Macaca mulatta: one gene and its partners. The protein of the gene in region 3 purifies or fractionates together with the protein of the main gene of each other region. This does not show direct contact. Links are inferred from orthologs where the notes say so. Each region holds a gene or a part of one and is shown on either strand. Other genes may lie near its edges.

The links.
Region 1: the proteins of NOLC1 (region 3) and NOP56 purify together in Homo sapiens (affinity purification with mass spectrometry; 6 studies listed by BioGRID and IntAct, with this or other methods). This does not show direct contact. The link is inferred for Macaca mulatta from reciprocal best matches to the Homo sapiens genes NOLC1 and NOP56.
Region 2: the proteins of NOLC1 (region 3) and CSNK2A2 purify together in Homo sapiens (affinity purification with mass spectrometry; 5 studies listed by BioGRID and IntAct, with this or other methods). This does not show direct contact. The link is inferred for Macaca mulatta from reciprocal best matches to the Homo sapiens genes NOLC1 and CSNK2A2.
Region 4: the proteins of NOLC1 (region 3) and ARRB2 purify together in Homo sapiens (affinity purification with mass spectrometry; 5 studies listed by BioGRID and IntAct, counting the BioPlex papers as one, with this or other methods). This does not show direct contact. The link is inferred for Macaca mulatta from reciprocal best matches to the Homo sapiens genes NOLC1 and ARRB2.
Region 5: the proteins of NOLC1 (region 3) and NOP58 fractionate together in Homo sapiens (co-fractionation; 3 studies listed by BioGRID, with this or other methods). This does not show direct contact. The link is inferred for Macaca mulatta from reciprocal best matches to the Homo sapiens genes NOLC1 and NOP58.
Region 6: the proteins of NOLC1 (region 3) and TCOF1 purify together in Homo sapiens (affinity purification with western blotting; 4 studies listed by BioGRID and IntAct, with this or other methods). This does not show direct contact. The link is inferred for Macaca mulatta from reciprocal best matches to the Homo sapiens genes NOLC1 and TCOF1.
Region 7: the proteins of NOLC1 (region 3) and ARRB1 purify together in Homo sapiens (affinity purification with mass spectrometry; 4 studies listed by BioGRID and IntAct, counting the BioPlex papers as one, with this or other methods). This does not show direct contact. The link is inferred for Macaca mulatta from reciprocal best matches to the Homo sapiens genes NOLC1 and ARRB1.

Annotation. Positions count from the first base shown.
Region 1 is NC_133415.1:81,429,492-81,433,771, forward strand, and holds the start of NOP56 (nucleolar protein 56), read right to left. Parts: upstream 2,801-4,280; 5' UTR 2,772-2,800; coding exon 2,769-2,771; intron 2,591-2,768; coding exon 2,501-2,590; intron 2,153-2,500; coding exon 2,038-2,152; intron 1,233-2,037; exon of another isoform or gene 1,158-1,232; intron 1,030-1,157; coding exon 868-1,029; intron 696-867; coding exon 497-695; intron 378-496; exon of another isoform or gene 246-377; intron 176-245; coding exon 1-175. UniProt on the Homo sapiens protein: Involved in the early to middle stages of 60S ribosomal subunit biogenesis. Required for the biogenesis of box C/D snoRNAs such U3, U8 and U14 snoRNAs. Part of the small subunit (SSU) processome, first precursor of the small eukaryotic ribosomal subunit.
Region 2 is NC_133425.1:53,802,437-53,806,454, forward strand, and holds the start of CSNK2A2 (casein kinase II subunit alpha'), read right to left. Parts: upstream 2,801-4,018; 5' UTR 2,430-2,800; coding exon 2,326-2,429; intron 1,545-2,325; coding exon 1,433-1,544; intron 1-1,432.
Region 3 is NC_133414.1:114,264,066-114,267,565, reverse strand, and holds part of NOLC1 (nucleolar and coiled-body phosphoprotein 1), read right to left. Parts: intron 1,394-3,500; coding exon 1,338-1,393; intron 1,228-1,337; coding exon 1,082-1,227; intron 980-1,081; coding exon 852-979; intron 348-851; coding exon 182-347; intron 1-181. UniProt on the Homo sapiens protein: Nucleolar protein that acts as a regulator of RNA polymerase I by connecting RNA polymerase I with enzymes responsible for ribosomal processing and modification.
Region 4 is NC_133421.1:6,246,856-6,250,355, reverse strand, and holds part of ARRB2 (beta-arrestin-2), read right to left. Parts: intron 3,253-3,500; coding exon 3,185-3,252; intron 3,059-3,184; coding exon 2,923-3,058; intron 2,685-2,922; coding exon 2,600-2,684; intron 2,333-2,599; coding exon 2,260-2,332; intron 1,463-2,259; coding exon 1,325-1,462; intron 523-1,324; coding exon 439-522; intron 346-438; coding exon 266-345; intron 189-265; coding exon of another isoform or gene 153-188; coding exon 98-152; intron 1-97. UniProt on the Homo sapiens protein: Functions in regulating agonist-mediated G-protein coupled receptor (GPCR) signaling by mediating both receptor desensitization and resensitization processes.
Region 5 is NC_133417.1:107,476,375-107,479,874, reverse strand, and holds part of NOP58 (nucleolar protein 58), read right to left. Parts: intron 2,257-3,500; coding exon 2,093-2,256; intron 567-2,092; coding exon 432-566; intron 108-431; coding exon 46-107; intron 1-45. UniProt on the Homo sapiens protein: Required for the biogenesis of box C/D snoRNAs such as U3, U8 and U14 snoRNAs. Part of the small subunit (SSU) processome, first precursor of the small eukaryotic ribosomal subunit.
Region 6 is NC_133411.1:159,339,633-159,343,132, reverse strand, and holds part of TCOF1 (treacle protein), read right to left. Parts: intron 2,975-3,500; coding exon 2,762-2,974; intron 2,534-2,761; coding exon 2,339-2,533; intron 2,199-2,338; coding exon 1,989-2,198; intron 1,808-1,988; coding exon 1,595-1,807; intron 1,445-1,594; coding exon 1,256-1,444; intron 1,060-1,255; coding exon 814-1,059; intron 722-813; coding exon 524-721; intron 1-523.
Region 7 is NC_133419.1:75,673,523-75,677,022, forward strand, and holds part of ARRB1 (beta-arrestin-1), read right to left. Parts: intron 2,015-3,500; coding exon 1,943-2,014; exon of another isoform or gene 1,848-1,942; coding exon of another isoform or gene 1,830-1,847; intron 1,220-1,829; coding exon 992-1,219; intron 1-991. UniProt on the Homo sapiens protein: Functions in regulating agonist-mediated G-protein coupled receptor (GPCR) signaling by mediating both receptor desensitization and resensitization processes.

The DNA of each region.
Region 1 (4,280 bases), on a different chromosome or scaffold from region 3:
TGAGGCATCCAGAATAGCCTTAGCCTTGGCCCCATCCATTGTCAGCTCCTCCAGCTTCTCCAGCTTTTCCTCATTCAGTTCCCTTCGGTTTCCAATAAACTGGGCAAGACGGCAGTATGTGGCATTGTCGTTGATGATCTTCACCAGCTCCGGAAAGTGATACCCATACCACTCCCTGCAAAGAGCCACAGTCACTCCCTGGCCCAGCTGCTTCATCAAAAACCATAGAGCTACAAATCTTCATTCTATGTTCCCCCATTCACAATACAGACCAGGCACAGGGCCTGAGCTGAGGTGTATATAGGGTAGGTTTACTCTACCTCCTCTTTCTATACAGTCAGTGTAAGAACACAGCCTGTGGTAAGCACCAGGAGGCCTAGACCCAGCCCCAGTCCACATAGTTCTACCCACAGGATGGTCAGTCCTCATCAAGACTCAAAATTAGCTAAACTACAGACCAAAGGCTCCAGTATTATGGGTGGCCCCTGCACTTTACCTGACACGCATAGAGAAGGTATTGATGTCCTTATCCAGCTGGTCCAGGAGGCTAATGGACTGGATGATCATATTGTCCACTCGGTTCACATTAAACTTAACTTTGGCACGGGAATAGCTGTGTCCCAGCCCCAGCTGTGCTTTACAAGCTGACAGATCAGTCAGACCCTTCACCAGATTGTGGAAGTGCAGACGAACTCCTAAGAAGAGGGCAGGACGGTGAGCAACAAGGGGCTCTGAGCTAGCTCCCGCACCCATGGGCACCAGCCAAGTCCAAGGCCTTCCCAGAAGTCATAACAAGCACCCACGTTTCCAGAACCTCCTCCCCGAAAATGTCAAGGATAACATGAATATAACAGATGATGGTCTCACCTCGCAGGATCTCAGCTATGACGCCTCCAGTCTGGCAGTTGTACCCTAACTCCTCCTGTATTGCAGCACCAATCTTGGGATCCCCAACTCCCAAGAGTACTTTCTTCTTTTTGGATGGCAGGTGGGTCTCCAAGAGCAGGCGGAGGTCCTCATGAACAACCCCTCAGAGGAAAGAACACAGTTCCCACTCACAGGCTGAAGGATGATCAATTCTAACATCTCCTCAGCTGATTACCCTGCTTCCACGGAGCATGCTGGGATGGCATACCTAGACCCCTCCCCATCAGGCATTGCTCAGAGACATGGAGACATCAGTGACTGCACTCAGGGGATTGACAGATTTGATTCGCAAGTCATCACTGCAAAGCCTGGCCCAGCCATGGGAACAACTGCACTCAGGTCTGATAGCACAATCGTGCAATAAATAATAGCTTGTAACACACCCTTGAGTATTTAGTAGAATTTGCCTTTAGTAGAATTAACCTTTTTTTCTTAGCCTGTGTTTATCCAACCGCCCTTTCCAAGCAAATAGCAGAAAACTAGACACCTGATTGTGTTTAGGCAAAAAACTCAGGCACAGGTAGGTGTTAAGCCAACCCCCTTTAAGAAACCCCCTTTGTCAAGCCGGGCACGGTGGCTCGCGCCTGTAATCTCAGCACTTTGGGAGGCCGAGGCGGGGGATCACGAGATCAGGAGATCGAGACCATCCTGGCCAACATGGTGAAACCCCGTCTCTATTAAAAACACAAAATTAGCCGGGTGTGGTGGCTGGCACACGCCTGTAATCCCCGTTACTCGGGAGGTTGAGGCAGAAGAATCGCGTGAACCAGGGAGGCGGAGGTTGCAGTCAGCCCAGATCGTGCCACTGCACTCCAGCCTGGAGGGCAGAGACTCTGTCTCAAAAAATAAATAATCTGTCACTACAGTGCCCACAAGGAAACGTAACACACATCCCACATCATCTGCTTTCAACAGTTTGGTCCATCACAGTTCCCAGATCTTGAGCTCTGTGAAGACAATTATTTCAAATTACACAGTTATGTCTCAAATACTGCCTCACACCTATCAGACTCACAGCCGGCCAAGGACGGCAAATACTATCACAAGCTGCCCGAGAGGATACCAGAAGGAACCACATCTCCCTGTGATACTTGGTGGTGGCCGACTCACCTTCAGACACGGCGTTCGCATTTTCCAAGGCAACCTGGGACGAGGCAAAGGGACAAAAGGCCACCAGACGAACGATGTTGTGGAATTTGCCCAAGTTGAGCACGGACTCCTCCACCTAGCGGGGGAGAAAGAGGCTGAGTGGTTTCCTTCCCTCCCTCCTGCCTCTGCGGCGCAGTAAAGCAGCGGTTCTCAGCCTTGGAAGCTCTTAAAATATGCTGACAGCGGGACCCCACAACCCAGCTTCTGCTTTAATCGTTCCGGCGCGGGGTCCGGGAGGCTTATTTCTAACTGCTAGAGCGATTCTTCCCATGAGTCAAGGTAAAGACCCCCGGATCTAGAGCTTTCCAGGCCCGCCCCCCGCCCCGAACCTCTCGGCCGGCCACGTGGGAGCGCGCGCTGCATGCTGGGACCTGCGCGGTGAGGGTCTGCGAGGCCGCCTGAGGAGCCCATGGATCTCACCCACCTGCGGCTGCAGCAGACTGATCTCCTCCACTTCCTTCAGTGCCAGCAGCGCGTAGCCGACCGCATGCTCAAATAGCACGTGCAACAGCACCTGGAACGGGAGCCGGGGCGCTAGCGTCAGCTCAACCTCCGCGTCTGCCGGAACCCGCTCCGAGAGCAGGCGCAGGCCCAGGCCCAGGCCCAGGCCCAGGCCCAGGCTCTGTCTGAAGCGCGAACCCAGACCGAAGCCCCCACCTTCGCGTCGCCCGCGCCCCACAACCACTCCTCACCATGGCGCCTGCTCCCGGGTTCGGCTCGCAATGCGGCTAGCGCGCTCCGGCGCGCGGAACCAGGCTCCAGAGGCCCCGCCCCCGCCCCGCAGACCAATCGGAGGCCGGGGACGACACCATCTCCCGGCCTTTAGAGGGGCCGCCCGGGGTGGTATCGCCCGGAGCGCGGGCTGGGTGGCGCCGAGCGCGGGCGAGCAGGCCTTCTCTGGCCTCTGCAGCTGCGTGGGCGGGCGCGGTTGCCGGGGACGCGCGGCCCGGAGTCGGGCCTTGCTGGCAGCGAAAAGACATGGGTAGGCCCTTTCGGTATAATAGTCCAGTTCCAGATGTTCTTGTCATATAAGTTGCGGGCAGCAGAGATGGGTGAAGTCGGGGTGGGAGGCTCCGCGTAGGGCACGGCGTCCATCCCAGAGACCGCTGCCTAGCCGGCTGCCCGCTGCGCCCGTGGCCTCGGGCCCCAGACCCTGCGCCCCAAGTCCCCGGGACCCATCCGTTCCCGTCCCCTACTCGGGGACGAGCCTCCCCAGCGCTGGGTGGGCCGTGCATCCTTTCCTCCCACCCGGAACGGGAGCGTTTCCTTGCGCGCTTTGGCGCAGACCCTGCTGGGAACGTGGCTTGCGCAGCTTTCTTCGTACTACTAATTTTATTTATTATTTTTTAAAATGACGGTGTCAGGCAGTGACGTGCGAAAGAAAGACGCTCCAACGTCCTCCTAGGCCAGTTTCTTGTTGCTGTGCTGCACGGGACCCAGCTTCTTTTGCTGGCCACGTGTTGCTCCTCCGCTTGAGCGGCCCTGAATTCTGGGCACCGGCGAGCGCCAAGTGAATCGGAGCTCCTTCCCTGTCCTCGAGGGCGTCTTTTGGGCTCTCAGGCGACTATTTAGAAATGAGTTTTGCTTTAATAATTAATATTAACGTTATAAATCCAAAACCTAGTTATGCTTAAGTAGCATATCCCCTGATATATTTTAAAGAGTCATTCGAAGGGGATTTTTAAAAATGCTGTATAGCTATAAACTACATTTATACATTTAATTGTTATTTTGTTAATCGATTGAGTTACTTGACAAAATCCAAGTACATAGTTCACTCACAAATCTAATATGTCAAACCTAAAAAATATGGCCGGTAAATCTTACTCACATAATTTTAATATAGTTTACAGATGTGGTTGAATTCTGTTACACATGTCGACTTAACGAATCTGAATCGTTATTCCATTTAACATTTTAAAATGGAATTGCAAAATTAATCCATACATTAGCATGTTGAATTATTTTTACCGTCATCAATACATAAAATTAGACGATTCCAAAATGTAATGGAAAATATTAATGCTAAGACTTCAATTTACTTCGTTATTTCTGTCCTTAATCCTGAATTTTCCTGGGATTACAGGTGCTTATTCACTAAACCAGGGGCTTTCAAGCAAGAAGTCAGAATGCATTAATGGACAGCATTTTAAAAAAGTAGGATTGGGTGGGCTATAATCCAGCACTTCAGGAGGCCGAGGCAG
Region 2 (4,018 bases), on a different chromosome or scaffold from region 3:
CTCTTTACTGCAATTCTGCTTCTTCATCACTAGGCTAGGATGTTTTGAGTGATGGAGTTAATCATTTTTTCTGAAAGATTACCAGGAAGCATAAGCCTGACCCCTCACATTAAACAGTGATTACCTACACAGCTGCTCTAACACACAGAAACAGCTTTTCAATTCCACATTCTTAGTCCACAGAACCTCTGCAAAAGGGCCACACTGGAAATCACATGTATGCAAAGTGCTTACGTCACTCTTCCGTCTTCTCAATCTCTCACTAAATGACATGTAACCACATGAAATGATCTGGCAATAACGAAGACCCATCACAGATTCTAAGAACTACTTTTTACTATAGCCTATAAAACATTATTAAAGCTATACAATTAATCTGTTACCAGAAGGAAAATTTAGCCGACCCTTCATGCTCATTAAAATCATCTTCATGGAAGAGATAACAAAAGACATATCATTATCAAACTGATTGCTAAACCATATATTAAAATCGTTTTGTTCCAATTATTGCTTTAGTAATAATACGTGAATTCTTCTACATTTTTACTAGCTGATAAGCAACAATGGCTCTCTGGCTTCCCAACAAGGCTTCTCAGCACTACTGGCGCACTATATCCATCCCACCTGAAACTTTACTGCCAAAGGAAAAAAAAAAGCAAGTGATTATCTGCTAAGGAATTTCCTTCCACTTGGGTTTGACATACATTTCTGAAGTCGCTCCAATTTTTTCCAACTTTCTTTCTGGAACAACGGAGAGCATGCACCAAGACTAACAAACACAGTGCTCAGGGAGCCCTTAAATTGAGAATGGCTTTCCTGTCTTTTGAATACCTATTTATTTTCTAACAAATGGAGCCCTTTAGGAATTTTTGCTTTAGGCAATTTACTTTTTAGAACAAACACCTTCCTGAACTTAGATTTGAACTAAGATCTGTGACCAGTCTGCACATTTTCTTGAAAGTTCACAGCAAAATGGGGTGGAAAAAGAAGTAATGAAGGGACATCAGATAAATAAAATCTGAGCGTGGGCTGGGCACAGCGGCTTATGCCTGTAAACCCAGCAATTTTAGGAGGCCTGCAAGGAGTCCTTTTGGAGGACTGCTTGAGCTCAGGAGTTTAAGACCAGCCTGGGCAACTTGACCAGACCCTGACTCTACAAAAAAATTTTAAAAATAACTGGGCGTGGTGGCATGCACCTGTAGTCTCAGCTACTTGGGTGAGATGGGAGGATCATTTGAGCTCAGGAGTTGAAGGCTGCAGTGAACTATGATCTGCACTACAGCCTGGGTGACAGAGTGAGACTCTGACTCTAAATAAATAAATTAAATTAAATTCAAGCTTGCATTGCCCATTCTAGAACGTGACTGGGGTAGCTTACAACCTTCTGCCCTGTGGGGGGAAAAATGTTACATACCACTCATAGGACACTCACCTTGAGGATTTTTACAACCACTCTCTCATTGTTGGTGATGTTAATGGCCTCAAATACTTCACTATATTTTCCCCGACCAAGTTTTCGAACCAGTTGGTAATCATCTTGATTACTGTAAAAGGAAGACACACACATAAATGCCAGGACTGGGGGTTAATCTAAGCAAGCCTATGCTCACTGTATACGTCATTCAGCCGCTTCCAACAGGCAAACACTTGGAAGTGTCTATACATCACGTCACAACTCATTCCCTAAATGAAAGCCACGACGTAATCTTGGCTCCCTTCACTCTGCAGAGCTCCTAACCTAATTGGTCTCTCCTAACTTGGAAAGATGGGGCAGGAAGGCAACGCTCTGAGCCAATCCAGAGGGCTGAGCAAAGCACCCGTCCTGAAGGCCTAGAGGGTGCCCCCTGTGCCCCGCGGCTCCCCAGCACCTGCTTCCCGTTTCACACCCTGAGGGTAGACAGTGCCTGTTTTAAAAAACTGGACGTCTTTAAGAAATTTCCTCCCACCACCTCATCTCAGAAAACCGAAAAGGCAGGGAATTTTAATAGCTCCAAAGGACAGCTGTTGACTTCCCACCCCAGTGGAAACCCAGAAGCGTGAGGAAGGGCTACTCCCTCACTTTTACCGGGCGTCGATCCCTGGACCCCACACTTCTCCCCGAGTAAAAAAGCATTCCTTGGGGGAAAGAGGTGCGCAAAGCGGGGAGAAAGGGACAAGGGGAGGGAAGAGGAAGACGAGGACATGTGCGAGAGCTGGACCTCTGCCTCCCTGCGGGCCCGCGGAGGGGTCGGCGGGAGACACCACCGGGCCCGAGTGCGGTTCGCAGGGGGTGGCCGGGCGGGGGCAGGGGTCAGCGGGCCCGGCGGGGGGCGGCGGCGGCTTTACCCCCAGCTCGGGACGTGAGCCTCGTAGTCCCAGTACTCGCGGCTCCTCAGGCTGTTCACCTCGGCGTAGACCCGGGCCCTGCTGCCCGCGGCCGGGCCGGGCATGGCGGGCGGGACCGGGGGGCGGCGCGGGGCGCAGAGGGTGGCGGCGGCGACGCGGCGGAGGGCGCGGGGCGGCGGGCGGAGGGGGCAGCGGGCCGCCGGGCGCTGGAGGAGGAGGAGGAGGAACGCGGCGGCGGGCGGCCGCGCCAGGCCGGGCCCGCGGGGGCGGGCGGGCTGGGGGCGCGGGGGGCGCCGGCCGAGCCGGCCCGGCCCTGGAGCGGCCGGCGGGGCGGCGGGGCGGGCGGCGCTCGCGATCCGCGGCGGTCTCCGCTCGGCTCGCGGCCCCCAGGAGGCGGCGGCAGTGGCGGCGGCGGCACCGGCAGTGGCAGCCACCGGCCGGGAAAGGGGCAGCGGCCGCGGCAGCGGAGAAGAAGGAGGAGAGAAGGAGGAGGCGGAGGAAACCCGGAAAAGGGGCCGCGCTCGCTGGGAGCGGCCGCCGCCCGGCCTGGGACCGCCCAGGCTCACAGCGCCCCCTGGAGCGCGGGGGGACCCGCCGGGCGGTGCCGGCCCCGCCCCGGCCCCGCCCCGGCACGCCCCGCCGCCTACCTCGCGCCCTCCCGCACCGTCCCGCACCCTCGCCCTCCCGTCGCCCCAGGTCGGACGGTCCAAATCGCCTCACCCTCGGGCTGGCCTGACTTCACGCCACAGGAGCCCCCCTTCCACTGGCCGTTGCCCTAGAGCCCTCGCCCGCGAGTCCCGACCCTTTCACTGTCCTTGGAGACCCTACCCCTAGCCCTGCACTCACCCAGCTTTTACCCACCCGACACCTCCCATACTGACCCTATTCTGACCCTCCTGTCACCCAAACTGTCAAGTCCCTCCCCAGGGCCTCGCTCAAACCTCAGAACCTCTCCCACCTCAATACTTCTCCTTTTCCCGGAGACATACCCCTCCTTCCCCCTCTGGACCCTGCCCTGTTAGGGTAGACTCCTCAGTCCCCAAAGCTTCCCACCCCCGTCATTCAGAGTCCTCACAAAACCTTTCCACGCTTCCCCCAAATGCCCTTCCAGAGCCTTCCCTGAATATCCACTTTGGTCACTTGGTTAAGCTGGCGTCGGCCAGGTTGTGCCACTGCAAAGTTACAATTTTTCCCTTTGTGATTAGTTAGTTATTTGTGGGGAGAGACTTTGAGTGTGTAAATCTCCTGTTTGTGTTTAGGAGGAGGGAGAGCAGAATTGCAAATCCGACCTGAAGGGACAGCAGGGATTGGGGATGCACCAGGGTAGGTGGTCAACTGAACTGGCCTGGCTTCCAGTGTTGCTTGCAGCCCTGAACACCCTTCTCCTTGGACCTTCTAGGCCCTTCCTTTGTCTTCCTTTCCCATCCTGCATCCTTTATCGACAGGACCTCTGCACCCAGTGCAGGTTGCTCTCATTCCAATCCCTTTTCACAGTCTGTTTTCTAGATGAAATCCTGGGCCTTCCTCCTTGACACAGCTAAGAGCACAGACTGTAGAGTCAGATCTATCCAGCACTGCTACTTAGAAGCTGTGTGACCTTAGGACAATTACTCAACCTCTCTGTGTCACAGATTCTACAGCACAAAACCAGTAATAGCACTCACTTCACAGGGCTGCAAGGAGAATTAAACAA
Region 3 (3,500 bases):
TATTTACTAGCTCCTATGAAATCTTGTTATTAGTAAAACCTTTAAAATTAAAAGACCAGTAATCAATACCTCCAGTTCAACAACCAGTACCATTTCACCCCTGTGCCAAATCAGCAGTTTTAACACCAGTCCCCAGAGCAATCTGGTTCCCAGCCCAGCCTCTTGGGAACGGAAACAGTACCTGGTTTGGGAGGGGCCTTAGCCTGAGCTTTAGCTGCCACAGGTGTTATCTTTGGCTTCTGGTTCTTTGGTGGCTCATCCTCGGAGCTTGAGTCAGAATCAGAATCAGAGCTCTTGGCCTTCTTAGGAGGAGCTTTGGCTGCCTTGGCTTGGGGCTTAACTCCCTTCTGTTAGAAAAGACACAAGGAGAGAAATCAACAAAAGCTTCTAGGTACCCAAAGGGCATCCTATGTTCCTTTTATTTTTAGGGGCTTAATGCAGCAGTAAGAGCAAGAGAAAGCTAAGGACAGGATATGGAAAGGGCAAAAAACTCTTAAGAAACAACAAAGTTCAGCCACTTGATACATTGGCCCTGTTCCTGCCATATCCTGCCAAAGCTCCCAAGAAAACACACTCTCTTATTCTTGGAGCCCTGAATAGTGTCCCAGAAGAACCCAAACTCCTCAAGCAGAATGGGTTTAATTTCCTCTAGATTCCAAGCCTGACCTCAACCTCACAAATCCCTTCCAGATCTCATATTTTTATCAGCTCTCTGAAAATCCCCAGATTTTCTTCCTCATAATCACCTATTGTATTGCCGGCCATCACTCCTTGGTTACAAGTTAGAGGCCAAGATTTTGGTTTCTTCCTTTCCAATCCTTAAACCCCCTTTTCTTCCCAGAGCTGCAAACCTGGACAGGCTGTTTCTTTTGGTCCTCCTCCTCCTCATCATCACTGGACTCTTCACTGCTGCTGCTGCTCTCTGATGCTTTGGCTGTAGCCTTCCCAGGAGGCAGACCGACTCGCTTGGCAGGTACAGCTCAACAAAAACACAGGTCCCAGTAAGAATCACCCATGTGAAACAAGCAGGCTGTAAATTATTTTCCTGGCACCACCAAGCCCACCCGCTACTTTGCCTTACCAGCCTTCTTTGCTGGAGGCCCTTGAACTTCCTCCTCCTCCTCGCTGCTGTCCTCACTACTGTCACTGGATGAGGCCTTCTTCTTAGCTTTCTTAGCCACTGGTCCATTTGCCTGTAACTTTCGCTCTGGGGCCTTGGCAGACCTGCTAAGGTAGATTAGACCAATTTCTAGGAGACTGTAATCTTCCCAAACCAAGAAACATAGCCCAGCCCACCTTGGGGGAGAAATAGCCAAAATGGAACAGGAAAGGCTTACTTGAGCCAGAAGCTATAGATGTCTAAGAGGGAAGAGGCATTGGCATCCTGCTGTGTCTGTAGAAGAAAAAGAGCTGGGTAAGGAAATTATTTTATCCTGGTTATGCTTTCATTAAATGTGGCCTGTTATATACATAATTACTAAATTTGGTATAAATGTTACATCTTCATAAAACTTTTGCTACATGCATAAATCAGGAGAAAAACATTCTGTTTGTGGATATCCCAATTTCTGATCTAAAAAACTTGGGCTATTATCATGTTTGTGGCACCATCTAACCCCCTGCCCACCAATCTATATTGACCAAAGTCCTAAAAAAAAAAAAAAAAAAAAAAAAAAATCAGCCAGTCACAGTGGCTCATGCCTGTAATCCCAGCACTTTGAGAGGCTGAGACAGGCTGATCAAGAGGTCAGGAGTTTGAGACCAGCCTGGCCAAATCAGTGAAACCCCCTCTCTACTAAAACAAAAATTAGCCCAGTGTGATGGCACACGTCTGTAATCTTAGCTACTTGGGAGGCTGAAGCAGGAGAATCGCTTGAACCAAGGAGGCGGAGGTTGCAGTGAGCTGAGATCACGCCACTGCACTCCAGCCTGGGCAACAAGAGTAAGACTCGGCCGGGCGCGGTGGCTCAAGCCTGTAATCCCAGCACTTTGGGAGGCTGAGACGGGCAGATCACAAGGTCAGGAGATCGAGACCATCCTGGCTAACACAGTGAAACCCCGTCTCTACTAAAAAATACAAAAAACTAGCCAGGTGAGGTGGCAGGCGCCTGTAGTCCCAGCTACTCGGGAGGCTGAGGCAGGAGAATGGCGTAAACCTGGGAGGCGGAGCTTGCAGTGAGCCAAGATCGCACCACTGCACTCCAGCCTGGGCGACAGAGCGAGACTCCGTCTCAAAAAAAAAAAAAAAAAAAAAAAAAAAAGAGTAAGACTCTATCTCCAAAAAATAAATAAATAAATAAATCACTTTTGACTGGGCACAGTGGCTCATGCCTGTTATCTCAGTACTTTGGGAGGCTGAGACAGGAGGATCACTGGATGCCAGGATTTCATGACCAGCCTGAGCAACACAGCAAGACCTCCACCTGCCAAAAAAAAAAAAAAAGCTCACTCTCTTTACTTTAGCAATGTACTATCTATGGAGAAACCCCGTCTCCTAGCCGGGTGTGGTGACAGACGCCTGTAATCCCTGGTACTCAGGAGGCTGAGGCAGGAGAATCGCTTGAACCCCGGAGGCAGAGGCTGTAGTGAGCTGAGATCACGCCACTGCACTCCAGCTTGGGTGACAGACCAAGACCTTGTCTCAAAAAAAAAAAAGAAAGAAAGAAAGAAAGAAAGAAAAAAAGAAACAAGACTGATGAGTATTGTATTGAGTGTAAAGAACTGCATTTAGGGGCCAAGCACGGTGGCTCAGGCCTGTAATCTCAGCACTTTGGGAGGCTGAGGTAGGCAGATCATGAGGTCAGGAGTTCAAGACCAGCCTGACCAACATGGTAAAACCCTGTCTCTACCAAAAACAAAAAAAATTAGCTGGGCGTGGTGGCGCACACCTGTAATCCCAGCTACTCAGGAGGCTGAGGCAGGAGAATCGCTTTAACCCATGAGGCTGAGGTTGCAGTGAGCTGAAATCACAGCATTGTACTCCAGCCTGGGCGACACAGCAAGTCTCAAAAAAAAAAAAAAAAAAAGAACTGCATTTAGGCTGGGCGCAGTGGTTCACACCTGTAATCTAATACTTTGGCAGGCCGAGGCAGGAAGATCACTTAAAGACAGGAGTTCAAGACCACTGGGCAAAACAGTGAGACCTCCATCTCTCTCTCTTTTTTTTTTTTTGAGACTGAGTTTCGCTCTTGGTCGCCCAAGCTGGAGTGCAATGGCACTGCCATGGCTCGGCCTGTGGTGGCTAAACGCCTGTAATCTCAACACTTTGTGAGGCTGAGGCGGGTGGATCACCTGAGATCGGGAGTTGGAGACCAGCCTAACCAACATGGAGAAACCCCGTCTCTACTAAAAATACAAAATTAGCCAAGCGTGGTGGCACATGCTTGTAATAATCCCAGCTACTTGGGAGGCCAATGCAGGAGAATCGCTTGAACCTGGGAGGTGGAGGTTATGGTGAGTTGAGATTGCACCATTGCACTCCAGCCTGGGCAACAAGAGCG
Region 4 (3,500 bases), on a different chromosome or scaffold from region 3:
TCTCCCCCCAGAAAGCGAGGAAGAGGTATGAGGGCAGATTTGAATGTGGCAGGAATCTTTGTCCCAAGAGGGTGACGTAGGGGAATGAGTTTCTTACTTGGTATCAAATTCAATGAGGTTGGTGTCCACGGGGACGTCTGTCTCCGGAGCGGCTGGGGGGATGGGAAGAGGGGGTGTGGGGGTGGGTGCTGGAAGGGCCAGTTTTCCTCCACTGGCCCTGCTTCAGGCCCTCCCTCTGAGGGCTTGGGGTGGGCGGTGTGCTCACCTGACTGGGGTCTGGGGAGGGGGGTGTGGTCGCGGGGCTTGGGGTGCATAAGAACAAAAGGCAGCTCCACAGACACATCCCTGGGGAAGGGGAGAGGGATCGTGAAGAGGATGACAACACAGGACCATCGAGAGCCAGTGTGACCCCCACCCAGGACCCCCCATGACACTCACCCGCCTCGAGACACCACCAGCTTCACCTTGACCCTGTAGGACACCAGGATTCCCAGCACCTCCTTGTTGGCACCCTCCTTCACGCTGCAATTGCGGTGGTGGAGTCAGACCAGGGCCCATCCCCCTGTCACCTGGCCCACCGTGGGGTTCCCATGGGGCCTCTGGGCAGGACCACAAACTCGCACAGGCCCGCGGGGCCCCAGCAGCCCGGGCGTGCGGTTACGGTACAGTGCGCGCTGCACTCCCCGTGCAGAGCCTCCTGTGGTTTCTCTCCCGTAAAAGCTGTCCTTCTCCGCTAACAGCACTGCACCGTCTGGCTCTCCATTAGCCCCTGACCTCACCTCCTCCTCCTCTCCTGCTACTTAGTTCTTGATAAGTTGCCTTCCGGGCCTGTTGTATGTGGCTGTGCAGTGAGAACCCTGAACAAAGGCACCGGGGAAGGTGAAATCCAGCCCTTTGTGAAGCTGAGGACCTCCAGGGCTGCTCCTGCCCGAGGGCACGATGGCACCTCCCCATTCCTCCAACACTCCAGGCTGCCCCACCTCTGAGTCTTTGTTTTTTCTCTGCCCAGAACTGTCCTTTCCTGCTCACCCATGTTGCTTACTTCCGCTGGGTCCTTACTCCCAATTCACCTTTGCATCTCACTGCGCCCCATCCCTCCCTTCTCTGCCTGGCTTTTTCTCCTTCATACTTGTCACTAAACCTGCCGTACAGTGACCACTGATCGGATTTGTCTAGCCTCCCTCTCCTAGAATGTAAGAGTTCTTTTTGTCTCTTCTGTTCACTGTACCTCCCTGGCACCTAGGATAGGGCCTGGCACATAGTTAGCACTCAACTGACGTCTGGCCCCTGGCCTGTGGGGGACCCGCCCCAGCCCCACCCTCACATGGTGCTGGAAGCCAGGTTGGTGTCCTCGTGTTTGAGTTTCCCATCCAGGGCGAGACCCCGCTTCTCCCGGTTGTCACTGAGCAGCGGGGTGATGGTGTACACCTTACAGAACGTGGAGCTGGGAGATACCTGGTCACTGGGGGTGGGAACAAGAGAACAAGACGCTTCAAGGGGCTGGACTGGGCGAGGGGCGGCCTATCACCCCCAAGCAGCATCTCCCCTTCACCAGTCCCTTCTCTCTTTGGGCACAGGTCACAAGGGAGTAGGTTGTGGCTCAACGTGCTCAAGAAAATTAGCAACCCAGAGGTGCCTGGTTGTAGAGGGAATACCCTTTTAAGTGAAGATGGTGGTTGGTCACAGTGGCTCACGCCTGTAATCCCAGCACTTTGAGAGGCCATGGCGGGTGGGTCACTTGAGGTCAGGGGTTCAAGACTAGCCTGGCTAACACAGTGAAACCCGTCTCTACTAAAAATACAAAAAAATTAGCCTGGCGCAGTGGCGGGCGCCTATAGTCCCAGCTACTCGGGAGGCTGAGGCAGGAGAATGGCTTGAACCCGGGAGGCGGAGCTTGCAGTGAGCTGAGATCACACCACTGCACTCCAGCCTGGGCGACAGAGCGAGACTCCGTCTCAAAAATAAATAAATAAATAAATAAAAATAAGCCAGGTATGGTGTTGCATGCCTGTAGTCCCAGCTACTTGGGAGGCTGAGGCAGGATAATCGCCTGAACCTGGGAGGTGGAGGTTGCAGTGAGCAGAGGTTGCCCCATCACACTTCAGGCTGGGCAACAAGAGCAATAATTCCATCTCAAAAAAAAAAAAAAAAAAAAAAAAATAGTGGCGATGGCTTAGGAAGAATTCTTCCCCCACCTCACACTCTCCCGATCCTGCTCTTCTCCCCCAGACTGGGAACTGGGTCTCTCCCGATACTCACTCTTGTTCGAGTTGAGCCACGGGACACTTGTACTGGGCGGTGCTGAAGAGGCAGATGTCGGCGTACTGTCTCACTGTGGGGGGGGACAGGGTCAGGCAGCTCTGGATGGAGCACAAGCCACCCCCACAACACAACTCCAGACCCCGTGGCGTGGCCCCTCCATGCTCCCCCCTGGAAGCAGTAAACACCGAGGCTCCCTGTATCATTCTGGAACAACCTAAATTCTTTGAGCCCTGGTGGGTCTCCCGCCCTGGGAAATGGCCTGGGCTGAGATCACACCAGGAGCCACCTGTGCAGTAACACCCTCCCCAAAGACCCCCTTCCAAACCCCACCTCCTACCAGAGACTTTGATCTTCTTGACGGTCTTGGTGGAGTTGTTGGTGACGTGGACATTTACATTGAGGGGCTCCCCATGGTAGTACAGCTTTTGGGGGGAGGGGGTCATATGAATTGGATCTGGTTTTTACTGGTCCCATCATCAGTGTGTCCCCAAACACAACACATTGTTCTGGCCCCCTCCCATCAAACCCAAGCATACGGCAACTCTCCACATCCAGCCAAGGCAACCTCCTTTACAAATGTCATCTTGACGTGTGGCTTCGCCCCCCCTCCCCTGGGTCTAAACTGCACCGTGGCATCCGCGTCACCCTCTCACACCCCACCTCCTTGTCCAGGGAAGCCTCGAGGTGCAGGGACCGGTCAGACATGAGGAAGTGGCGTGTGGTTTCTGCTGAAGGCTGGGGGCCGGGTTTCTCTGGGGCAAACTGCACCTTTCGGATCACCAGTCGCACAGAGTTCCTGGGATGGGGGTGGGGGCAGAAGGGGGTCAATCCTCAGACACCTAGACCCCTACTCCTCCCCCGCACGGGGCCTGGGCTCCTGGAAAGCCTCCTCTTACATCATAGAGGAGGTCGCGTCCCTCACCTTTTGTGGCTTTTCTCCTCTAGTGATTTAGCACAGAAGGCTCGAATCTCAAAGTCTACGCCGCAGGCCTCAGGAGGGGGAGAAAAGGCCACATCTTACCCAAGGCTCCCGCCACCATCACTCCCCTTCCTTCCTCCCCCTTCCCTCCTCTTGGGCAGGGATGCTTGCCCCATTGTGGTCTCACGACCCTGGCGACCAAGTCTTCCTCTCCAAAGCCCCGAACCTGGCAGAGGCTTGGTCATGGTAGTGCAAGGGGCAAGGGGAGCCCCCATCCCCAGATCCATGCAGGTCCAGAGAGCAGAAGGCAGGGTCACGC
Region 5 (3,500 bases), on a different chromosome or scaffold from region 3:
CATTTAAAAAAACTATTCACCCCATTGTCACTTAAATGTACTCACCTTTTGTGTTCATATTTTTCTGTTTTTGCTAATGCCTTTCCTGTTCCACTTATTTTTCTTATCTAAGACGAAAAGGAAAAATTACAAATACAATTCTAAGTCACTTTATAATACACTAAACAGTCTAGTGAATCAGTGGGCCAGCAAACAATTTCTGCTATTTTTTGTTATTTTGAATAGCATATCCTAATGGCAAATGCTATTGTATACATCAATTATTGGTAAATAATAGCAATTGTTAATAGTAGGCACAAAAAGAATACTTTAGACATACTAACAAGGATCATAAAACTGTTTAGCAGATAAAGTAACTTCATAAATTTACTCAATTTATTAACTTTTGACAGTTTAATACTTCTGGAATAAGCATGATGTGGTATTCTTACCCCTCTATCTTCCAAAGTTCTCAACCTGGCCTCTAATTTGGCTCTGTTCTCAACTCCCATTGCAGAACTTGAATCCTCACCAAAAGCATCATAACGGATAGCCAAAACAGTTTTCGCTGCCAGCATTCGAGAAATCTAATAGAAAAACATGAAGAACTATATTCCATGTTCAGATGTAAAATCCTCAATAACTGGCTCATGAGACAGTTCCAGCAAATTATCACATTTATTCCAGGATGTTATGAAACTATTATGAATCATACAATTCAAATCATCCATCGTATTTCAATCTTTGCCACAATCTAATGGCCATACATTACCACCAATTCTGTGGCTGAAAAGATTTTATAGCAGTTCCTGTCAAAAATTAGCTCAAACTGGATTTTGTAAAATTACTTTACTTTCTACCCACTGACATTAGTTCTGTGCCTTGAGGTCATTCACAACAAGTGCATCTTTTTCCCCATAACTTAAATATGTGTGGGTTCTGACTGGGCACAGTGGCTCAGCCTGTAACCCCAGCACTTTGGGAGGCCGAGGCGGGTGGATCACGAGGTCAGGAGATCGAGACCATCCTGGCCAACATGGTGAAAACCCGTCTCTACTAAAAACACAAAAAATTGGCTGGAAGTGGTGGCGGGCACCTGTAGTCCCAGCTACTCGGGAGGCTGAGGCAGGAAAATGGTGTGAACTCAGGAGGTGGAGGTTGCAGTGAGCCGAGATCGCACTACTGCACTCCAGCCTGGGCGACAGAAAGAGACTCCGTCTCAAAAAATAAATAAATAAATAAATAATAAAAAGTGTGGGTTCTTTTTCAACCTAATTAACATTTTATTTTATTGCACCCTTTATTTCCCTCCACCACTCTGCTCTAAATTTTATCAAATTTCAGTTTAGTTCTGTTAAACAACACATCTTTCAAAAACATTGGAAGTACTTAACTTGTCTAAGCCTCAGTTTCATCATCTGTAAAACAGATACCTACATCTCATAAGGCTACTAAAGATTTAGGATGGGCACGGGTGCTCACACCTGTAATCTCAGCACTCTGGGAAGCCAAAGTGGGTGGATCACGAGGTCAGGAATTCGAGACCAGCCTGGCCAACATGGTGAAACCCGTCTCCACTAAAAATACAAAAATTAGCCAGGTGTGCACATGCCTATAGTCCCAGCTACTCAGGAGGGTGAGACAGGAGAATTGCTTGAACCCAGGAGGTGGAGGTTGTAGTGAGCCGAGATCAAGCCACTTGCACTCCAGCCTGGCAACAGAGCAGGACGCCGTCTCAAAAAAAAAAAAAAAAAAAGGTTTAGTGAATTCTGTCAAAGTGTTTTAGCATAATGCATATACTATTGTTTATGATTCATAAATGTTAGATTTTTTTTTCCTGCCAGAGATAATATTTTCAGTGTGCCAACCACAGGGAGATCCTAGGGGAAAAAAAAATACTAACACAATGAAGAAACTGGCTTTAAATCAACAGATAACAATTTCTTCTAACTTTATCCTTCAGTGTACACAAAGTGCTTTTTATTTAAATAACTCACCATTCTCTAACGAGAAAGAGACAATAGAAAGATTTAATGTGTACTACAGAAGAAAAAAGGGTTGTAAAAAATGAAGAAGTCCAACCTCAAAAACAAAACAAAACCCTGTAACACACCTTTCCTTTGTGTTTGGGACTTGTCTGGCCTACGAGTGAAGCATGATAAATGAGACCGTACTTAGGGGTATCCCGTCTAGATTTGAGGGCTCTGAAGAGTGCCTTTTCTGCTCCAAGAATCTGAACGGTAGAAGCTGCATGCTTGGCCAAATTCAAAAGAGAACCTATAAAAGAAAAAAGTTACCAAGAATGCACCTTCAAATATATGAATGTTCCATGTACTAAAACAAAAGACCTATACAATATTATAGCCACCACAATAAATAAAAATCACATATAATATAGAATTCTATAATCCAGAATTCCCTAAAAACCTTGATGTTTCATTTGTAATTCCTTCATTAGCACAAGCAGGTTTGCAATGAATGCCTAGGACAAACTGAAGGTTAAGCTTATTAAGTCCAATGTCTCTATTCACCTGAGAGATGGTAGTACCATTCTATATTTCATTAGTGTACTACAGGAGTGACATAAATGTCACACACAGGAACACTAGGTTTTAAGTCTCTTGCCACCCCACTCAGCTCCCCCGCCATCCCTATCTACCCATTAGTCACTTTTGTAGCCCTCTCCGTGGTGCAGTAGTACTGCAGTGCTTATATTCAAGTAAACAATGCACAAAAATAGTTATGCTGGCATATTTTTTTTTTTTGAGATGGAGTTTTGCTGTCGCACAGGCTGGAGTGCAGTGGCACGACCCTGGTTCACTGTATCCTCTGCCTCTCAGGTTTAAGCAATTATCTGCCTCGCCCTCCTGAGTAGCTGGGATTACAGGCGCCCACCACCACGCCCAGCTAATTTTTTTCGTATTTTTAGTAGAGACAGGGTTTCACCATCTTGGCCAGGCTGATCTTGAACTCCTGACCTTGTGAGCCACCCTACTCGGCCTTCCAGAGTGCTGGGATTACAGGTGTGACCCACTGCCCCTGGCTGCTGGAATATTGTTATAACTGTTCTATTATTACTGTTGTTCATATCCCACTGTACCTAATTTATAAATTAAGCTTTATTGTAGATATGTATGTTTAGGAAAAAACAGTATATACAGTATAGGGTTCAGTACTATCCTCTGTTTCAAACATCCTTGGGAGAGCTTAGAATATATCCCCATAAATAGCTGGGGACTATTGTTATCAACATGCTGCTTAGTTGGATATGCTGAATAGAATATTTATTGTCAGAAAACAGACTCAATATTAATGCTATGAATTTAAGCACTAGACATAGTTTAAAAAGTGTAATAAATACATAGTTCCTTTTTTTTGAGATGGAGTTTCGCTCTTGTCGCCCAGGCTGGAGTGCAATGTCACAATCTCGGTTCACTGCAACCTCTACCTGCTGGGTTCAAGTGATTCTCCTGCCTCAGCCTCCCAAGTAGCTGGGATTACAGGCTCACGCCACCAAGGCC
Region 6 (3,500 bases), on a different chromosome or scaffold from region 3:
CGGGCACTCTCCCATTCCCTGGCCTCGCATAGACTGCTTCCTCTGCTGGAACACTCTCCCTGCCCATCTCTTTCAGCCCATGGTTCAGATGCCGCCACCTCCTGTAAAAGGCCTAGATACTCTCACCTGTCATGCTGTGCAGCCCAGGCTTACACCCTCTAACTCAACCCCATCACTCCACACTGGAGGAGCACATCCATGCTCCAGAGACAGGACTTCCCCGAGGAACAGGGCCTCAGCAGCCCCAGACAAGGGCAGCACCTGGCAGGGTGGGAACTCCAGAGCTTGTAGAAACCACAGGGAATACATCAGCGGGAGCTCAAAAGGCCAACAAGACAAGAGACCCTGGAGCTCTGATGGGCAGAGGAGACATGGAGTGAAAGACAGGGAAGGACGTAGTGTTGAGGCTACCGCTGAGGCTTCTGCACACCTGCAGGCAAGACTAGCCCCCAATCAAGCCCATCCTCAGCCCTGGCTCAGGAACAGCTGTGGGTGGGATGGGCCTGCTCCTTCTAGGCCTCACCTGTGCTGAAGGTGCAGCTGCCTCTTCACTGTCTGATTCCTCCTCACTGCTCTCAGAGTCTTCCTGCATCTCAGCTTTCACCTGGGTGACCGTAGGCCCCGTCTTCCCAGGAAGTACTGGAGCGGTCCCTTGCCCCAAGGATCCCTTGACAGGCACTGAGGCCGCTTTCACCTGGAGGCCTTTCCCCACAGACTTTGCCTGGGATGACAAGTGGAAGAGAGGTGTCTCTAGGAGTCCAAAGGACCACGTAGGGGCGGCCCTGAGGTCCCCCCATTAAACACAGGCCTCACCTGTCCCATGGTTACTGCAGGACCTGTCTTCTCTTCCTCACTATCTGATTCCTCACTGCTTGAAGAATCCTCTGCTGGTCTCTGGGTGCCCCCAGCCACAGCTGGGGATGAGCCTACTGGAGAAGTCACAGTTCCTGCTTTCCGGGGGGCTTGGGTGCCCACTCGCACAGGGGTGACCTTGGCAGATGCAGTATTGGTTTTCTTTGGGCAGGCCTTGGTCTGAGGAATTTTCAGAGCTGGTTTTGCCTAAGGGGACACCAAAGAAAGGCTGGAGAAGATTCCTGAACTCGGAGTCCCCCATCTGTTCTGAGGTGGATCCCCACTACTGTTCTGCCCCACCAGTCAGAACCCATGATCTGCCTGAGGGAAGCACAGCTCCCTGGGGGGCTGACTGTGGTGTGGTAGATCAGGCCATGTGGCAGCCTCCTTCCCCAGGCCTCACCTGAGCTGCAGTCATGGCTGCTGGTGTCTCCTCACTGTCCGCACTGTCCGACGACTCCTCGCTGCTCTCTGAGTCTTCCATGGGCTTTTCAGCCTTGACCTGGATGGCTACAGGCCCTGCCTTCTGAGGCGGTCCCTTGGCAGGACCAGAGGCGGGTTTGGCCTGGAGGACTTTCCCCAAGGATTTTTCCTGGAGTGAGATACACAGGATCAGGAGAGGGAGCCCAGAGTAGGTGTGTACAGACATTAAGAGACCAAGACGGTAGACAGAGTCCCAGTGGGAGGCCATGGGTGGCTCCACTCTGAGGGGAAGAAAAGAGCCTACAGGAAGGGGCCTCACCTGAGCCGGGGCCACAGCTGTGGGCACCTCTCCATCATCGCTGTCTGATGACTCCTCACTGCTGCTGTCTGAGTCCTCCCACTTCCCCACCTGGGCCGAGGGTGTTGTAGGCCCCGCCTTCCCAGGTAGCACTGGGCCGGGGCCTTTCCCCAAGGGCCCCGTGCCCATGGTGGAGGCAGGTTTCACCTGGGGGTTTTTCCCCAAGGGCTTCACCTGGGAGACACAATGGACAAGATCAGGGAGTCCAGAAGGAGAATATGAGTGAAGACATAGGTGGGGAGGAGAGCAAACGAAGCCAGCCGCACAGGGCTCTAGGTTCAGAGAGGAAAAGTCAAGCCCACAGGAGGTCTTCTGAGGCAAGGCACAGGCCATGCAGGGCGGCTTCCAGCCTCACCTGAGCTGCGTTCATGGCTGCCGGTGCCTCCCTGTCACTGTCTGACTCCTCACTGCTGCTCCCCGAGTCCTCCTCCTGCTTCCCTGCCTGGGCCTGGGTGGCTGCAGGCCCTGTTTTCCTAGGAGGTGCTGGGGCAGCCCCTTTCCTGGGGGACTCCTTGGCAGAGGCCGAGGCAGCTCTGACCTGGGAGGTCTTCCCTGAAGGCTTCGTCTGGAGTGAGAAACAGGATGAGAGAGGAGAGCCCGGAAGGTGTGAGGAGACAGGAGCTGGAGGCGGCAAAGGTGGCCATACCCATGCAGGTGCTGGGGTTTAGGCATGGGGCTACTCTCCACCCCTCCCCTCTGCCTCACCTGAACAGGCGCCTCCTCCTCACTGTCCGATTCCTCGCTGCTGCTCTGCGAGTCCTCCTCCTGCTTCCCGGTCTGGGCCTTGGCAACTGCAGGCCCTGTCTTCCCAGGGGGCGCTGGGGCAGCTCCTTTCCTGGGGGACTCCTTGGCAGGGGCTGAGGCAGCTCCGACCTGAGGGGTTTTTCCTGAGGCCTTTGCCTGGAGAAACAAGATAAGGGGAGACAGCCCAGGGGATGGATGTGTGAGGAGACACAGGACACCAGGTAAAGAAGACCAGATAGGGCAAATGACACCACACAGTGAGAGGGGAGTAAGGGGCTGGGGTCTGAGGCACGCCCCGGGCTCTGACACAGAGTGGGAGAACAAGTCCTGAGAAGCCTTCTGGGGAGGGCCTGACTGCATGGGGTCTCCCTCCTCAGGCTTCACCTGAAGCAGGGCCTTGGCAGCTGGCGTCTCTTCCTCACTGTCAGACGATTCCTCGCTGCTGCTCTCCGAGTCCTCCTCTGGCTTCCCTGCCTTGGTCTGGAAGGCTACAGCCCCTGCCTTCCCAGGGTGTGCTGGGGTAGCCCCTTTCCCAGGGGTCCCCTTGGCAGCGGTCGAGGCAGCTCTGACCTGGAGGATTTTTTCAGAGGTCTTTACCTAGTAAAAAAGAAAGGGCAGTTTGCTCTCCTGCTTGTGAGAACTCTCTGATGATGCCTTTAAGATAAAGTCCAGAGGCCTTAATGAGGCTCCTAAGACCCCCTCTGCTTCCCTTCCCAGGTAGCACTGGGCCAGCGCCTTTCCCCAAGGGCCCCGTGCCCATGGTGGAGGCAGGTTTCACCTGGGGGTTTTCCCCCAAGGGCTTCACCTGGGAGACACAATGGGCAAGATCAGGAGGGAGTCCTACTTCCACCTCAAGGCCTTGACAGTTGCTGAGCCCCTGCCTGGAATGACCTTCCTAAGAGTGCTTCCTCCTTCTGGTCTTTGCTGAGACGCCTTCTCCCAAGGCCAGCCCAGATCACTCCGTTTCAAGTTGCCATTCCTACATCCCCCACCCAACTTTCCCCTTTACCATTTACCAGCAGCTAACACAGGGGATCTGCTTACCTACTGCATGCCTCCACCTTGTCCTTCCCTAGGCCTGGGGCTGGGTGGGTGACCCTCACTCTTCCTCCTTCCTGCTCTG
Region 7 (3,500 bases), on a different chromosome or scaffold from region 3:
AATAATGGTCCCCCAAAGATGTCCACACCCTGATCCCCCAAACCTGGGACCTTAACGACAAAAGTGACTTTGCAGATCCAATTAAGGCCTTGAGATGGGGACAGTATCCTGGATGATTTTGGTGGGCCTGATATCATTATAAGAGTCCTTAGAAGTAGAAGCAGGAGGCAGAAATGTACGAGCCAGAGTGATGGGATGTGCAAAAGACTCAACAGCCACTGCTGGCTTTGACGATGAAGGAAGGCACCAGGATCCAAGGAAAGCGAAACTGGAAAAGGTGGACGCTCCCTGAGGGCCTCCAGAGGAGCCAGCCCTGCCATGCCTCCATTGAGGCACAGTGAGACCCGTTTTGGGACTTCTGACCTCCAGAGCTGTAGGCTCATACATCTGTGTTGTTTTAATTGCTGCCAAGTTTGTGGCAATTTGTTTCAGCAGCCATAGGGAGCTAACATGTCTATGTGGAAAAGGTGACTCCATAACCCTCTCCACTCTCTAAGTCTCCCAGAAAGGGAGGGACCACACTGAATCTCAGAATCAGAGAGCCTAAGAAACTTGAGATTTTGAAATCCAGCATCTTAGTCTCTGATTTGAAAGGTGGTGGAGCAGACAGATCACCTACTTGCCATCCCTCTCTTGCGAGCTGGGTTAAACCAGGCAAGTGGGGAGCTGATCTGAGCTGGAGACACCTTGCAGTGACTCACAGGCCACAAAGGGCTCCTGCTTTCTCTGAAGCCCCTTGGCGCCCCCTTTCTCCCACCAATGACCTGGCCTCGGTCTGAGTGGCCCAAAGGTACAGGTGACAAACCCCAGCAGGGGCTAGAGAAGAGACACTTACCAGGTAACATAGGTGTCAGTGCCCCAGGTCCCAGCATACACTGGGAAACTGGGTGGCAGGGAGCAGATGACCCACACCGACCCCTTATGCCCACCCCAGAGGGCTTCCTAGAGGTGGTATTTCTGGAATGGGGCTCCAGGGGTGGCAGTTCCTGACCTCAAAGGTGAAAGGGTAGGCGTGCTCGCCCAACTTCTTGATGAGGCGCTCCTGCAGCCGCGTCAGGGGCTTCTTGTCCTCGGGGGCTGGTGGGAAGGACTGCACGTTGGCCACAAACAAGTCCTTGCGAAAGGTCAGGCCCAGGACATCCAGGTCCTCCCGGCCATAGCGGAAGGCGCAGGTCAGCGTCACATAGACTGTGGGGAGCAAGGAGCACTGAGGAGGGGCCTGGGAGAGCAGCAGGTGAGCCCCCCAGAGTGCCAACAGCAGCCATGGGACAAGCCCCGCTGGAGGCCCCAGGCCTGTCCCAAGCTCTTTGGGGATGGCTGTACTGTCTCCACCAGGAGGGGCTGGTATTGAGTACCTGGAAGGATGCCATGGCCTGGCCCCTGGGAGGAGGAGGGGGCTGCCTGCTGAGCAAGCCCTGTCCTTCTTCCCCCTCCCACCTCTCTCCATGGCATGTGTGGAGGGGTATGGAAATGGTCTGACAGGCTTGGCGGGGGCTGGAGTAGTCTGGCAGGCCTGGGGTGGGGGTAGGAGGACTGAGGAAGGAGCAGGGAGTTGTAGGGGCAGGGCAAGTGCTGGGTGGTATCTGGAAGGCAAGGATCTTGTCACAGCTCAGTCGCCCATTGGTGCACATTGGTGCACATTGTCTTCCTGCACATTGGTGCACATTGATACTGCCCCGGTATCAACGTTCTGTTCTGTTAAAGAAGACCCTAATCCTGCCCTGCTGGCATCCCCAGCCTTGCCATAGTCATGACATATTGATGTGAAAGTGCTCAGGGCATAGGGAAACCTTCTCCCAAAGTAGGCTTGGGGCAGGGCCGTCCCAGGCTGGAGGAGGCAAGGGCATCTGTGGGGGTATTTGTTGAGGCTTTCAGGGGAACCAGTGGGGACGGACAGGGAGATCCTATGCTAGAGGTCCAGGGGGAAGAGGAGGCCCTTGACAGGCTGGGGATGGGGACCACAGCCTACCTCTCCTCTCTTTGAGATACTCAGGATCCACCAGGACCACACCATCTGGGGAAAGGACAGAGAGTGAGCAGCCTCTCCCAACTTGGCCTCCCAAACCTCTGCGCCCCCAAACACCAGCCCAAGCCCAGATTCAACCATATGTCCATCTAAAATCATCCTGAGAAAAATGGAAAGGCCGGCACCTAGAGGGTGGCACTGCCGACCTCCACCATGCTCTACCTTTCCCTCATCCCAGGCCAGCCTAACAGACCCAGCTGGTGACTTTAAGCAGGTTAGTTAACACTTCTGTTTCTTCATATGTTAGTAAGAATAGTAACACAGGTCCAAAACTCCTAGAACCAGGTATACTTTGGAATTTAGAAATTGTGAAGCATAGAGAGGCAAAATGGGCCGGGCATGGGGGCTTATGCCTATAATCCCAACACTTTGGGAGGCTGAGGCGGGTGGATCACTTGAGGCCAAGAGTTCAAGACCAGCCTGGCCAATATGGTGAAACCTCATCTCTACTATAAATACAAAAATTAGCCGGGCATGGTGGTGGACACCTGTAGTCCCAGCTACTTGGGAGACTGAAGCAAGAGAATCACTTGAACCTGGGAGGCGGAGGCTGCAGTGAGCTGAGATCATGCCACTGCACTCCAGCCCGGGCAACACAGCGAGACTCTGTCTCAAAATAAAATAAAATAGGCAAAATGGTACACGTTCCATATATTCTGTAATGACCTCTGCAAGATCTGCACCCTATTACTAAAGCCATTGATACCTCCGTAGGAAAACACAAATATTCTCACCAAGAGGCTAAATATAGCCTCACATCAGTTGGGGTCAGGTTTGCCAATGAATGAATTCTGCATTAAACTTGGAAGCAATGCTAGGTTTTCAGAGCTTCTTGGGCTTGCCACATGTGAATCAGGGGTTGTGATCTGCAGTGCCTCCCTCATGGGTCTCCCGTGAGGACTGAATGGGTATACGCATGAATGTGCACATGCGTACAGCACTTAGACAGTGCCGAGCACTCGAGAGCACTCTGCAGGTTGTGGAAGGTGCCTCAGTGCCCTGGCCCTCGGGAGCAGAGTCCAGCTGAACACAAAGGACATCTCTACTCAGCACCTCAGGAGGCCAGAAACACTGGTTCAGGGTCACCCCCTTGGCTGACATCCCCTGTCTATCTCTGGCCAAACCTTTCTTTCCTCTCTCTCCCCCTACCCTCTAACCCATTGTCATTCCATTGCCAGTGGAAGAGGAGGGCCAGGATGGATCACCAATGTCCCGTTGGTGAGGACAGTGGGCTCGGACTTGTGTGCAGGTTTGGTGGGGAACCGGTAAGCATAGGGAGGGTATCATCAGATCAAGCCAAATGGCAGGGTCACTATGGGAGAAGGGTCACAGTAAGTCCCTGAGCAGCTCCGCACAGTGCCCCAGAGTGTTCGGGGATCCCAGGGCTCACAAGGGGCCTGATACAGAGGGGGTGCTCTGTGAACACCTGCTGAACAGCTCTCAGGGTGCCTGCGTGTGTTGGGGGCTAGATTCC